4 linked regions of the Arabidopsis thaliana genome follow. The protein of the gene in region 2 interacts with the protein of the main gene of each other region in a pairwise test. Each region holds a gene or a part of one and is shown on either strand. Other genes may lie near its edges. The genes, in order: TCP15, NF-YC8, NF-YB5 and NF-YB4.

Region 1 (4,318 bases), on a different chromosome or scaffold from region 2:
ATCTTCTGATCATATTTGTGAATCGTAATTGTTTTGCTTTTTAGATTTGTCAAATATGCACAACACCTTTTAACTATCAATTCGTTTTCTTTTCTGTTTAGTCTTTGATATATAGTTTTCTTGATATTTTGATTGGTTTACTAATTACTACAAGCAGGCCGATACTTTTAGTTATTTATATTTTACGAGGGAAAATTATGGTCAATGAACATATTCTAGTTAAAACATAAAAAGATATCACATATATAAGTAATTAAAATATAAAATTTTGTCATTTGTAAATATGTTTGGGCGAAAATGTTTGGACATCCCATAGGTTTTATGTGGCTATGCGTAAAGTTTCTAATAGTTAGACTAATCAACGTTCCTAAGAGATCATCAGAACTAGTTACACCTTACACGTAACGTTAATGATTCGTCTAAACTAAGAGACGATAATTAGCCACAATAGAAAATACTATATTTTGATTTTTGAGAAGTTTTATCTTCATAAAGCTTAGACATTTGAAAAAGAATAGTAAGATTATAACAAATATATTTTACAATTTTCAATATATACTAAGAAAGATGAATTTGCCTAAACTCAAAATTAATATGTGTAAGAATTTTTATAATTGGTTTTCTCCATTTCTTTTAACAAAATCATATGTATATTCAAATATACTACCTGGCAATTATTATATGCATGCTTATGTTGGTTTATGTAATAACTTGGATTTATTTTGTTACACTCAATTTCTATAAAACACAAATTTGAGATTTTTAAAAAATATTTATTTAAAATATCTTCATAATAATTCGAATTTACTTTTATATTATTTTTTTCTTTTGTATTCTCTAATTCAATTATATTTTTAACGTTACCATATATATATATATATATATATATATATATATATTACGCTGGTCCTAATTAGTAGTATAATCTATGTAACACCGTATATTTTGATTCTTTGAACAGCTTATATGAATAATCATCACATAAGAAGGAGCCTTCTTCATCACTATTCACTACATATAAAAATTCGTTTCAGAAAAAAAAGATCAATGTTCTGTCCACATCAGAGTATCAAAATAATTTTCTAAATTTAGTGCTACATCTTTTAACGACAATTGTATGTCAATGAGATAACTCCAATGGTGGAAACAAAAGAGAAGCATTACAAATTTGCTTTTATATATCTATAAAGCACTGTAACTATGGTTTTATAAATAATAATATCAAACTGGTAACTCATTCAAGAGTCACAGAGGAGAAAAAACAATCCATCTGTTTCATAAAAAAAGCAGTTGGATTCTATTATATCATGTGGATCTCGTGAACTACCATAGAGCCATGGATTAATCACTGTCATTCTGTCAATAATAATTCTATCTATTTATTATTCTGTTGTCACATATGTACAAAATATATGTAAACTTCTCAGTTCTGTCTGAATCGCTGAAATTTTCGCTAAATGTGCAATTAATTTCCCGATCGCTTGAAGTTAACAGTTACGACGAGAAACTGACGTCACTTTTTAATTATTGTAAAGAATGAAAAAGAGTGTTCGTATAGGGTAATTGTATTATTGTAAAAAACTATGTATCCAAACACAATAAATACACGAACAACATTTATTTTCACTCACTTTGATCACTGTACGTAATAAGGAAAAACATTTTATTTGAATGAATATTTGTACAGATTGGAGAACCACGTAAGCCCATCTCTTTTATTTCCAAAAATAACGAAAAATTCTCAAAGGGAATAGTTTATAATGTAAATAAAATTCCAAAAATAAAACACAAAAGATATAAAGCAGCAAGAGAAAAAAAAAGTCCATGCTTTCATATTCATTGCTTTAATCTCTCTCTCTCTCTCAGACATAGACACAGCTAAGCTTCCCATCTGAAAGGAGTTTCATGTCCTAAGGACCATATTATAACCTCTCTATCTCTCTCTAAGTATCAGCAAAAAAACAGAGATTTATAGAGAGAGAAAAAAACTATGGCTCACATAAAGATCTAACAGAGACAGTAGTATAGTCCCACTTCCCCACCACCAAAGCTTCGATCATCATCATCATCATCATCATGGATCCGGATCCGGATCATAACCATCGACCCAACTTCCCTCTCCAGCTTCTTGATTCTTCTACCTCCTCCTCTTCCACTTCCTTAGCCATCATCTCTACTACTTCCGAACCTAACTCCGAACCTAAGAAGCCTCCTCCTAAACGAACCTCTACTAAAGACCGACACACCAAAGTCGAAGGCCGAGGCCGTCGGATCCGTATGCCTGCCATGTGTGCTGCACGTGTCTTTCAGCTCACACGTGAGCTTGGTCACAAATCCGACGGTGAAACTATTGAGTGGCTACTCCAACAAGCAGAACCAGCGGTTATAGCCGCTACAGGGACTGGAACCATTCCGGCTAACTTCACTTCTTTAAACATCTCACTTCGTAGCTCAAGATCTTCTCTCTCTGCTGCTCATCTTCGTACAACTCCTAGTAGCTATTACTTTCATTCACCACATCAGTCCATGACTCATCATCTTCAACATCAGCATCAGGTTCGTCCCAAGAACGAGTCACATTCTTCGTCTTCTTCTTCTTCACAGCTTTTAGATCACAACCAAATGGGTAACTATCTAGTACAATCAACTGCTGGATCTTTACCTACGAGTCAGAGTCCTGCAACGGCACCGTTTTGGAGTAGTGGTGACAACACACAGAATCTTTGGGCTTTTAATATTAATCCTCATCATTCCGGTGTTGTCGCCGGAGATGTTTACAACCCCAACAGTGGTGGTAGTGGCGGCGGTAGTGGAGTTCATTTGATGAATTTTGCAGCTCCTATTGCTTTGTTTTCTGGACAGCCTTTGGCTTCTGGTTATGGAGGAGGAGGAGGTGGCGGTGGAGAACATAGCCATTATGGAGTTTTAGCGGCGTTGAATGCTGCTTACCGACCGGTGGCGGAGACGGGGAACCATAACAACAACCAGCAAAACCGTGACGGAGATCATCATCACAACCATCAAGAAGATGGAAGCACCAGTCATCATTCCTAGGCAAACATACACAAACAAATATATTCTGTGAGATTTATTTTTCTTTTTTTGTCCTTTCGTTTGTTTGTTTGTTCTTAACAAGCGTGTTTTTTTTGCATTGCTTCTTTTTCATATATTTTTATTTATTTCTAAATTCTAATATTCTACGGATTTCATCTTGTTTATTTTTCTGATTAATGTATTGAGTAAGTAATTAAGAACCTGATAATCGATATGTTTTAGTTTGTGGTTTTTGCATGCAAGGCTTTGGTTTTATTATTCTAGAGATTTTTGCTTGAAGTAGTTGTCTTGTGAAATGTTTTCCTCATTACTATTGAGTGTGAGAGTTTTCTAATACTTGATTAGGGTTTTTGAACAATTTTTATATATGTATATTAATTCAGTACGGATTATCAATAAATTATTTCGCATGCCAAATTATTATCTTCCACTTCGTTCATGGTTACATTGTCTCGAAGAAGCTACATCTTATGCATTGTGAGCAATTATTCAGGTTCTAGCTATCTCTTTTAATATGTTAATTTCTTTGCATGATTAACATCTTACTCCTGACTGGTCTATTGGTGACTATGCTAAGATAATGTAGATATATATAGTAACAAAATCATATAGGTCAAAGCATTAAGTGTGATTGTTTTGGTTAATTATAAGTGTGTTGACGAGGGGATGCATTGTAGATATGATGCCATATTAATGCCAGTAGGTTTATGCGCATGGTGGTTTGGATACGTTCAATTTATAGCCGTTGCAAAAATTGAAGGCATTTAATTTTGCTAATGATATTACCAAAATTATTTGATTATGAATCAAAAGATACAAGGAGAATTATCAAAAAAAAAATATATAGGTCCATTATCCGTATAAGGTAGCTAAGAACTTAATTAGTCTGGTGCTATGTTTGAAGACTCACGTACGATTTACAATCTCTGGATCTATGAAACTCATCACCAAGCAGGAACCTGTATTTATACGTCAATATTTGTGAATTTTCGGATACCCAAAAAATACCAAGAATATATATTTCATTTTCTGCTGAAAATCAGAGAAAAATGTGTTTTAAAAACAATGTCTATAAACAAATTTATAGATTGAAGTTAGAACTAAAAACTTTTGATGGTTATAGATTTCAGCTTGATCATTTATTTCTGAAGTGTTTTCGTTGGATGAAACATAGATTATATATGTCTATAATTAATTGAGACATATACATTGATGATATACAAAATAACCAGGAATTTTTCGTTATACAGAAAAATACACAAGT
Region 2 (3,205 bases):
AGATTGGACTGAGCAGATGTGTTGATGTGACGGATATTGGGATGATAAGTCTTGCACGCAACTGCTTAAACCTGAAAACATTAAATCTGGCGTGTTGCGGATTCGTGACGGATGTAGCCATCTCTGCTGTAGCTCAGTCTTGCCGGAATCTAGGGACTTTAAAGTTAGAGTCTTGTCATTTGATAACTGAGAAAGGTCTTCAATCGCTTGGATGTTACTCCATGCTTGTTCAAGAACTTGATCTTACTGACTGTTATGGTGTAAATGACAGAGGTAATAGAAAGATATATGTGAACTCAAACCTCCGTTTGTGTTTTAGATATTGTCATCTTTGGTATCTTACGGTTTTTTGTTCCGTTGGGACCGCAGGGCTAGAATATATCTCGAAGTGTTCGAATCTTCAAAGATTGAAACTTGGACTCTGCACAAATATCTCAGACAAAGGGATTTTCCATATTGGTTCCAAATGTTCGAAGCTTCTAGAACTTGATCTATACCGGTACACTTTCTTGGTGGATTCTTGATGAAAAATGTGCAAGACATGTTTCGTTTTCTTACTGATTTCTGGTTTTTGAGTGCAGCTGTGCCGGTTTTGGAGATGATGGTTTAGCAGCTTTATCTCGAGGTTGCAAGAGCTTGAACCGACTCATTCTATCATACTGCTGTGAACTAACTGACACCGGGGTTGAACAAATCCGGCAGCTAGAACTTCTAAGTCACCTCGAACTTCGAGGGCTAAAGAATATAACCGGTGTTGGTTTAGCAGCCATTGCGTCCGGCTGCAAGAAATTGGGTTACTTGGACGTTAAACTCTGCGAGAATATTGATGATTCGGGTTTTTGGGCGCTCGCTTACTTCTCGAAAAACCTACGACAGGTACAAAAAATAACATTTATAGATGGAGATCTGGAAGCATCTATTGGAAACATGTTTGATTCTTGTGTTGTGTGTTTTGTTTGGCAGATAAACTTGTGCAATTGCTCGGTGTCTGATACGGCTCTATGCATGTTGATGAGCAATCTGAGTCGGGTTCAAGACGTTGACTTAGTTCATCTGAGCCGTGTGACTGTAGAAGGGTTTGAGTTTGCTCTAAGAGCCTGTTGCAATAGGCTCAAGAAGCTTAAACTTCTCGCACCTCTCAGATTCTTGCTCTCATCGGAATTGCTCGAGACGCTTCATGCTCGTGGTTGCCGCATTAGATGGGACTGAAAACATAAAGAACAACGCGGTTTCTTGTGTTGGTTAGTTTATACTGTTGTAGGTTTTTGATGTTTATAATCTCAATGTTAAAAATCAGTGAAACTTTAGTAGCGGTTTGTTTTGGATCCATATAAATGAATCGGTTTAAGTGAATTGCTGCGGTAAAATATTTTGCTATAACCGGTAAAAAAGATCGGACAACGCTTAAGTAATGATTTCTAGTTAGAAAGTTGTTGATGTGTAATAGATCTATGTGATGAACTGATGATCATATGTTTTTGAAGTCTAACAGAAAGCTAAACCAATCAGATGCAACATGTAACTCCTTTGTGTTCGAGCAATGATATGAATTATGCTTTCACATTTAACATTTGAAAACATATTTTTTAACTAAATAATTCAAAATAAGTTTTGTACAGCAAAAAATTATCTTGCAATTTTATAGAGAAAATATAGTTTTGTATTTACTTTATTTCTTTTTTCTAACACTATTAATTGGTATAATATATACACTTTAAGTAAAAATAAATCACTTTCTTTTTTCTTCTTATAATAATAACCAAATAATGTTAGTCAAACAAATAATGTTAATATCATTAAATATTCTTAACAATATACTAAATGCGTTAAGATTCATTGTTGTAAAAGTTTACCTGCTTACTATCCCACCATATCTAATCTATGCTTAAGCTTTTCCTTTATATATGCAAATCTTCAAATAAAAAAATAACAAGCCTAGAACACTAGAAACTTCAAAAAAGAAAAAAATCTTATGGAGAACAACAACGGCAACAACCAGCTGCCACCGAAAGGTAACGAGCAACTGAAGAGTTTCTGGTCAAAAGAGATGGAAGGTAACTTAGATTTCAAAAATCACGACCTTCCTATAACTCGTATCAAGAAGATTATGAAGTATGATCCGGATGTGACTATGATAGCTAGTGAGGCTCCAATCCTCCTCTCGAAAGCATGTGAGATGTTTATCATGGATCTCACGATGCGTTCGTGGCTCCATGCTCAGGAAAGCAAACGAGTCACGCTACAGAAATCTAATGTCGATGCCGCAGTGGCTCAAACTGTTATCTTTGATTTCTTGCTTGATGATGACATTGAGGTAAAGAGAGAGTCTGTTGCCGCCGCTGCTGATCCTGTGGCCATGCCACCTATTGACGATGGAGAGCTGCCTCCAGGAATGGTAATTGGAACTCCTGTTTGTTGTAGTCTTGGAATCCACCAACCACAACCACAAATGCAGGCATGGCCTGGAGCTTGGACCTCGGTGTCTGGTGAGGAGGAAGAAGCGCGTGGGAAAAAAGGAGGTGACGACGGAAACTAATAAGTGGAATACGTTTTAGGGTATTTTCAAGGGAATATGTAGTAAATAGTCATGGATCTAATTTTTTTAAAGAAATAGCCATGAGATACAATGTTCTGTCGGAAACACATGTATTATTACATGTATAACCTTAGACATTGAGGGGACAATACACTATTTGGGAGCGTGATGATTCTCGGTTTGAAATTTGAAATATTCAGAAGCTAACATTATATTCATTCTCTCGCACCAAAAGTAATATATGAGAAAATAAAAATCTTGTTTTTTCTTCACACCGCAAAATATCCTCCCAAAATCTAGCGCCGTCGTTGGCGATTGCGTTCACCGTCGGTTACTCTCATCTTCTTCAATCAAGCCCAGAACTTGATTGTCTCCTTGAAACCTTCTTCTCGTTCTTGTCGCCGTTAGCAATCCAAGTATTAATTTCTGATCCTCCCCTTGCCGACGAATCTGGTAAGGTAAGCCATTGATTTTCGTTTATTTATTGCCGATCTTCTTCTATTTCTTCCTCTTTATACTTCAATTGCATAGAAATTAACGATTGTGGCCAGATCTAAAGTTTGGTTCTTTTTCCCCTCTATCTCTATCTTCTTCTATGTCTTCCCATGTATACTTACATAAGTATCCTGCATAGGGTTCTCACCGTTTGTGTCCAGATCTAAGTTTTGA
Region 3 (3,092 bases), on a different chromosome or scaffold from region 2:
AATAATTACTGTTTATAATATAGAAATGCTATGAACGTCATCATGCATCGTTCAATAATTAATTAATATCTAAAGGCGTTCAACATTTGTTTATCCGTTTCAAGGTGGTCCGATCCACCATCGGTCGACACTTGTCCTCACTTTGTTAATGATTTTACATATATGTATATGTAGCTGTAATATTTAACTAATGACTTAGGTTTTTCGGGAAAACAAATAACATAAAATAATAGCCAACATATCATACTTCTAGAACACCATGCTCTCCAAAATCTTGTAAAATCCTCTATGTAATTTATAAATCTATCTTTACATTACTTCTTTAAATAATAAATGGGAATGTTTTGCTAAACAGCTCATATTATTCTCATCCATAGTAAGGCGACAAAGCTTGTAAATGTTTTCGTCTCAATATAATGCAGAATTTACATAATGCTGTATAGCCAATCAAAATAAATTAAAGTTTAAAATATAAATAGCTAGTTAACTAACTAAATCACTGTTTTGCGGATATAAACTAAATTTCGTCTAATAATTAAATACTGGTAAAAAGTAAGTAAAAACATAAAATCACATATAAGAGGAAATATATATATATATATATATATATATATTATTAATCCAACTAGTTTTGATTTGAAAGTTCATAGAATTTAAATGGTAGTTTGATTAAAGTAGGTTATATCATCGAGATTGAGTTCTAGATGGATAAGAAAAACCTAATGTGTTGACAAAATATATATATCAAAAGTGTGGTGAAACAAAAAATTATGTATTTCCTCAGTTCGAAAATATAAAATATTTTAGTTAAAAAACGATTTTTTTTTTAAAACAACATTATTAATAAGTAGTTGAAAATATAATTCAACCAAATATTATTTATAGCCTCTTCAATTTTGGCAAGCAGACTACTAATTATAGACCACAAGACGTGCTTTTATATGGTCCACGAGTTCGATATTATCGTTTATTAAAGTGACTAGCTCTTAAGGAGGAATGTGGAATAATTGAATAATTTTTGGTTGAGGAGAGTTTCCAGACTAACTGGAGTGTGGAGTCAATCCACAGATAGACGGTATTGACTTAAGCAGGAGGACCAAAACTTCCTTTTTAGGGTAACATCAAGTACGTCATCAACCCCAAACTATTTTCGCCTTCACGTACGTTGAGGATATCATATCATATTCATTCCCAAAGGCGAGATAATTCACTACTAAAGGAATGATATATGTGTTATATATTCTTAACACATTTCAACATTATTTTGTTTGCAACACATCTTATTCTATGATTACATTTTAATTGTTTTAACTCAACCAAAAGGGTTTAGGAGAAAATAATTAGAAGAAAATTGAGAGAGAGAGAAATTAGCTAGACCTGCCACATTGTCTCCCCTGTGACCTAGACCACTCTCATTGGTTTGTATGACACGTCACCACCATTCTCTGACCAGACAAACATAGATAGATACTCCTTAATTAGCTCTCTTGCCTTTCTACTTATATATAAAGCTAATTTAACTACACAAATCTCTCTGTCAAAACGAATATTTTTTTAGATGTATACATAATAAACACATTTATGTTAAAACCTCTCCTTTTTCTGTGTGCCATATAGTTTGGCAAATTACATATCTTCGTTCTATATCATCATTCGTTGTTGTGAATCATACTGAAACGAACCCCTCACCAAACAAGATTTATAGATCCTCTGCTTTAATTATAAGATTCTGATGGCGGGGAATTATCATTCGTTCCAAAATCCAATCCCTCGATACCAGAATTACAACTTCGGGAGCAGCTCATCTAATCATCAACATGAACATGATGGGTTAGTGGTGGTGGTGGAGGATCAACAGCAAGAAGAAAGCATGATGGTAAAAGAACAAGACAGGCTACTTCCGATAGCAAACGTAGGAAGGATCATGAAGAACATCCTCCCAGCAAACGCAAAGGTCTCTAAAGAAGCCAAAGAGACTATGCAAGAATGTGTGTCCGAGTTCATTAGCTTCGTCACGGGAGAAGCATCCGATAAATGCCACAAGGAGAAGCGAAAGACCGTTAATGGAGACGATATCTGTTGGGCTATGGCTAATCTAGGGTTTGATGATTACGCCGCCCAGCTCAAGAAGTACTTACATCGTTACCGAGTTCTCGAAGGTGAGAAACCTAATCATCACGGCAAAGGAGGACCTAAATCCTCGCCAGATAATTAAAATTCTTCCATCGCTTTTTGATTTTCCTTGATTAATCTCCATGTCATCATCTTCCTCTTTAGGACCAGCTATCTTTTTCTATCTTCTCATATATTGTTCTACATATATAAATAAATTTTATGTATATGATGATATAACATGTATGTGGTGTGAGGTACTGAACAAATCTGTGTTAATTCTTCCAGCTGATTTTGTTATTTTCTATATTTTTATTTATTTACATATATTGGAGTGGAGATCGATCGATGTGTATATTATGAACCATTTTCGGGATTTTCTTTTGGTTGCTTCATTAATGCTTTTTAAACAATTTATTCAGATTTAATTAATTTTCGACTGGTATAATTAAATAAAATTAAATCGAGCATCATACAACAACACAAGTCCTGCCACAACCAACCAAACCGGTTTTTAACTGTTTACCATCTAACTTTTAAAACCGTCAATCATGAAGATGAACTAATATATCATCAACTTTGTAGATTAATTTCGACAGTGAGGATATATACTACCATGTCCCTTTCCTCTGATCTAGACTACTTAACCCTCTATATATAAGAAATCAACTTTGCAATTTCGTAGTTTGTGGAATTCTTATTCAGTTAAATCAATTGATTTCTTTCGACAAAAAGCGAAACTTAGTCGACTTTCAGTATTTAGATATATTTTTAGATTATGGCATTTGCATATAGATTATTCGCATTCATTTATCCACACTAAAATGCTAGCTATTCCGTACACATCATATAGAAAAATAAAATTTACTACTTCGATATTGTTTTCTTTAAAGCCTAATTGATATTTAGACCTTATGTCGATATAGATTAATTCTATTTTCGACGTGATTCACTTTCTAAACAGTATATAGTACTAAGAA
Region 4 (2,736 bases), on a different chromosome or scaffold from region 2:
AAAATTGAAGGACCCATTGACGAAGAAAAAGTGAAACAAACTTAATATCAGAAAACAGAAAGCCCATATGGTTCTTCTATCATTTCAAGGCATGCAAACCGTAAAATTGTTTTCAGTTTGGGATCCGACTTGGAATTTGGAAAAGAGAATAATAAACCCACCAATACACTATGAAATGAGAATAATAAAATACTCCATGGGTTACAAAAGACAGCATTGGCGAATTATTAATTATCATGTTTAAGCATACAATATAATTAGCAAGCAAAAAATAGGAGACCGTTAACAACTTTCCAATTGAAGTGTGATGCAATTGATAAATTAAGGGCAAAAAGTGTGATGCTTTTCACAAAGAAATAAAACTTTACATACACTTTTTTTCTAATTGGTTGTGAATGGTTAAGTCAACTCAGTTTCGAAGTATGTAGAACATCTTTTTAAATCGCATAATCCGGTTTTTAATTAATGACGTATTCTAGGTTTTTTTTTTTAAGTGCGTATATTCTAAGTTCTTACGTAAATATATGTCTTTAAAAAGATTATAATGATTAGTTAAGCCTCTCTATACCATGAATAAAGTGCAGAATGTAAAGGAAATGCTCTAAGAACTCCAAAAAAAAAAAAAAAGAAGAAGAAGGAAATGCCTGAAACTTTCCATCTTTCCGTTAATAGACTAGCAAGAACTCGAACAAAATGTGTGTTCACACATCTTCTACGATATTTTTTCCCAAACGAAAGGTTTATCATTTTCCCCAAAAATTAGGATACATATTCGACTAGAGACGTTCACCTACGATCACCAATTCATTAGGAATTCTTGATTATACAAAATATTATAAAATCATTATATTTAGACAATCCAAATCCAAATCCACAAGATACAAAATCGTGATAGTTTGACGTTTCATAATGCCTCATGTGGCTTACAATATGCTTAGGGTTTGAACCCATATCTAAAATGCACATGCTCTTAGTATATAAACCAATGACTTGGCCAATATAGACCCATTGAATATTTGTATTGGTTAACTTCTAACGACGAAATTTCTCAATATTTTGTTTTTAGCTATTGCCTTTTATATAGATTTGGTGAATTTTTGCGCAGTATTGCTAATAATTAAATAAGTATTTATTTTTAAAACATATTAAAACCAAAGGTCAAATGCATGCGAGTGGCCGTACTGGATTATGCGGATTACGTGCCTCGAATTTCATATTTTCTATAATACAATTAAGGTTTTGACATTCCATAAGCCAACCATTGCTTCATCAAGAATAATTTCTTTTACCAAAGTAGCTACGCTCTAATCAAAATTAAAGTTAAGATTTAATTTTAGATATTAATTTAGTATTAACTTGTCATATACAGTACTGTACGTAGATATCCGTATGTATTAGACGGATTGATGATGCATATGGATCAAAGCTAAGCCACAATCACCAAACAGGTATAAACGATTCTGCTATAGCTTATATAAGCTTAATTCACATACATATATACAGAGAGAATCTTAGACATATATTATATATATAGTATGTAATAAATTAAGAGTAGGTTCAAGTAGTACATCTACTCATCATACACATACACACCCTATATAATCTATATATAGAGAGAGGGAGGGTCATATAGGACAACTTGTATAAAAAGGTTATAAGAGAAGCGAGAGCTGATAGATTCACTGAAACAAAAGAGAAAAATGACAGACGAAGATAGATTGTTGCCAATAGCCAATGTAGGGAGACTTATGAAGCAAATCCTACCATCAAATGCAAAGATCTCAAAAGAAGCAAAACAAACAGTTCAAGAATGTGCAACAGAGTTCATAAGCTTTGTTACATGCGAAGCATCAGAGAAGTGCCACAGGGAGAATCGGAAGACGGTGAATGGAGACGACATCTGGTGGGCTCTCAGCACTCTCGGCCTCGATAACTATGCTGACGCCGTGGGTAGGCATCTTCACAAGTACCGTGAAGCCGAGAGAGAAAGAACTGAGCACAACAAAGGTAGCAATGATAGTGGGAATGAGAAAGAAACCAACACTAGAAGTGATGTACAGAACCAATCGACAAAATTTATTAGAGTTGTTGAGAAGGGAAGCAGCTCCTCGGCCCGTTGAACTAGACATCTAAGTTCTGAATTATTTACTATGAAGCCAAGAAAGATCTGTAGAGAGACCAGAAGGATTCAATAATGTCAATGTTGAATCATTAATACAATGTACATGTTTGTAATTGATTTCTAAACATGAGTTTCTACATACATATATATAAATCTATGATATTTCTTCTTGCAAGCAAATAACGTGTAATTTAGACTTAGAATATTGGTCGGTTCGAACAATAGGAAGAGGAGAAGATAGCAGAAACAAGGTACTAGCAAGATGATTTTGGTTTTCTTTTTCCTTTTGGTATATATATCACCGCATAGGTCGATCCAAGGCTTTCCATAAACATAATAGGCCAAAAAATAAGAGCTTTTTGTATATCTTACCGCATATATCCATTGATGGATCTGTTACAGTGGCTAGAACAATGATATTTTTTAATCCCCATATGCCTAATGGCCTTCTGGAGCCTGAGGCTAGTGTTAACCAAAATAAAGGAGCATTGGGACTTGACCATTTAAAATGAAATCCTAAAGAAGTCAGAAAGTAATTAGTTCACATTAAAGGAGAAGGAAGCTTAGAAAGTTGACACTTGCCAGATTTTATTTCACATGTAAGTAGATTGGTC

The links.
Region 1: the proteins of NF-YC8 (region 2) and TCP15 interact in binary tests that used the Arabidopsis thaliana proteins (3 or more experiments, as listed by UniProt).
Region 3: the proteins of NF-YC8 (region 2) and NF-YB5 interact in binary tests that used the Arabidopsis thaliana proteins (3 or more experiments, as listed by UniProt).
Region 4: the proteins of NF-YC8 (region 2) and NF-YB4 interact in binary tests that used the Arabidopsis thaliana proteins (3 or more experiments, as listed by UniProt).

The regions. Positions count from the first base shown.
Region 1 is NC_003070.9:26,214,373-26,218,690, forward strand, and holds TCP15 (TCP family transcription factor), read left to right. Parts: upstream 1-1,636; 5' UTR 1,637-2,076; coding exon 2,077-3,054; 3' UTR 3,055-3,699; downstream 3,700-4,318. UniProt on the Arabidopsis thaliana protein: Transcription factor involved the regulation of plant development. Together with TCP14, modulates plant stature by promoting cell division in young internodes. Represses cell proliferation in developing leaf blade and specific floral tissues.
Region 2 is NC_003076.8:9,940,067-9,943,271, reverse strand, and holds NF-YC8 (nuclear factor Y, subunit C8), read left to right. Parts: upstream 1-1,824; 5' UTR 1,825-1,972; coding exon 1,973-2,536; 3' UTR 2,537-2,603; downstream 2,604-3,205. Other genes in the region: AT5G27920 (F-box family protein), read left to right, coding at 1-273, 370-499, 582-876, 964-1,209. UniProt on the Arabidopsis thaliana protein: Stimulates the transcription of various genes by recognizing and binding to a CCAAT motif in promoters.
Region 3 is NC_003071.7:19,582,061-19,585,152, reverse strand, and holds NF-YB5 (nuclear factor Y, subunit B5), read left to right. Parts: upstream 1-1,534; 5' UTR 1,535-1,732; coding exon 1,733-2,215; 3' UTR 2,216-2,495; downstream 2,496-3,092. UniProt on the Arabidopsis thaliana protein: Component of the NF-Y/HAP transcription factor complex. The NF-Y complex stimulates the transcription of various genes by recognizing and binding to a CCAAT motif in promoters.
Region 4 is NC_003070.9:2,907,995-2,910,730, reverse strand, and holds NF-YB4 (nuclear factor Y, subunit B4), read left to right. Parts: upstream 1-1,698; 5' UTR 1,699-1,700; coding exon 1,701-2,120; downstream 2,121-2,736. UniProt on the Arabidopsis thaliana protein: Component of the NF-Y/HAP transcription factor complex. The NF-Y complex stimulates the transcription of various genes by recognizing and binding to a CCAAT motif in promoters.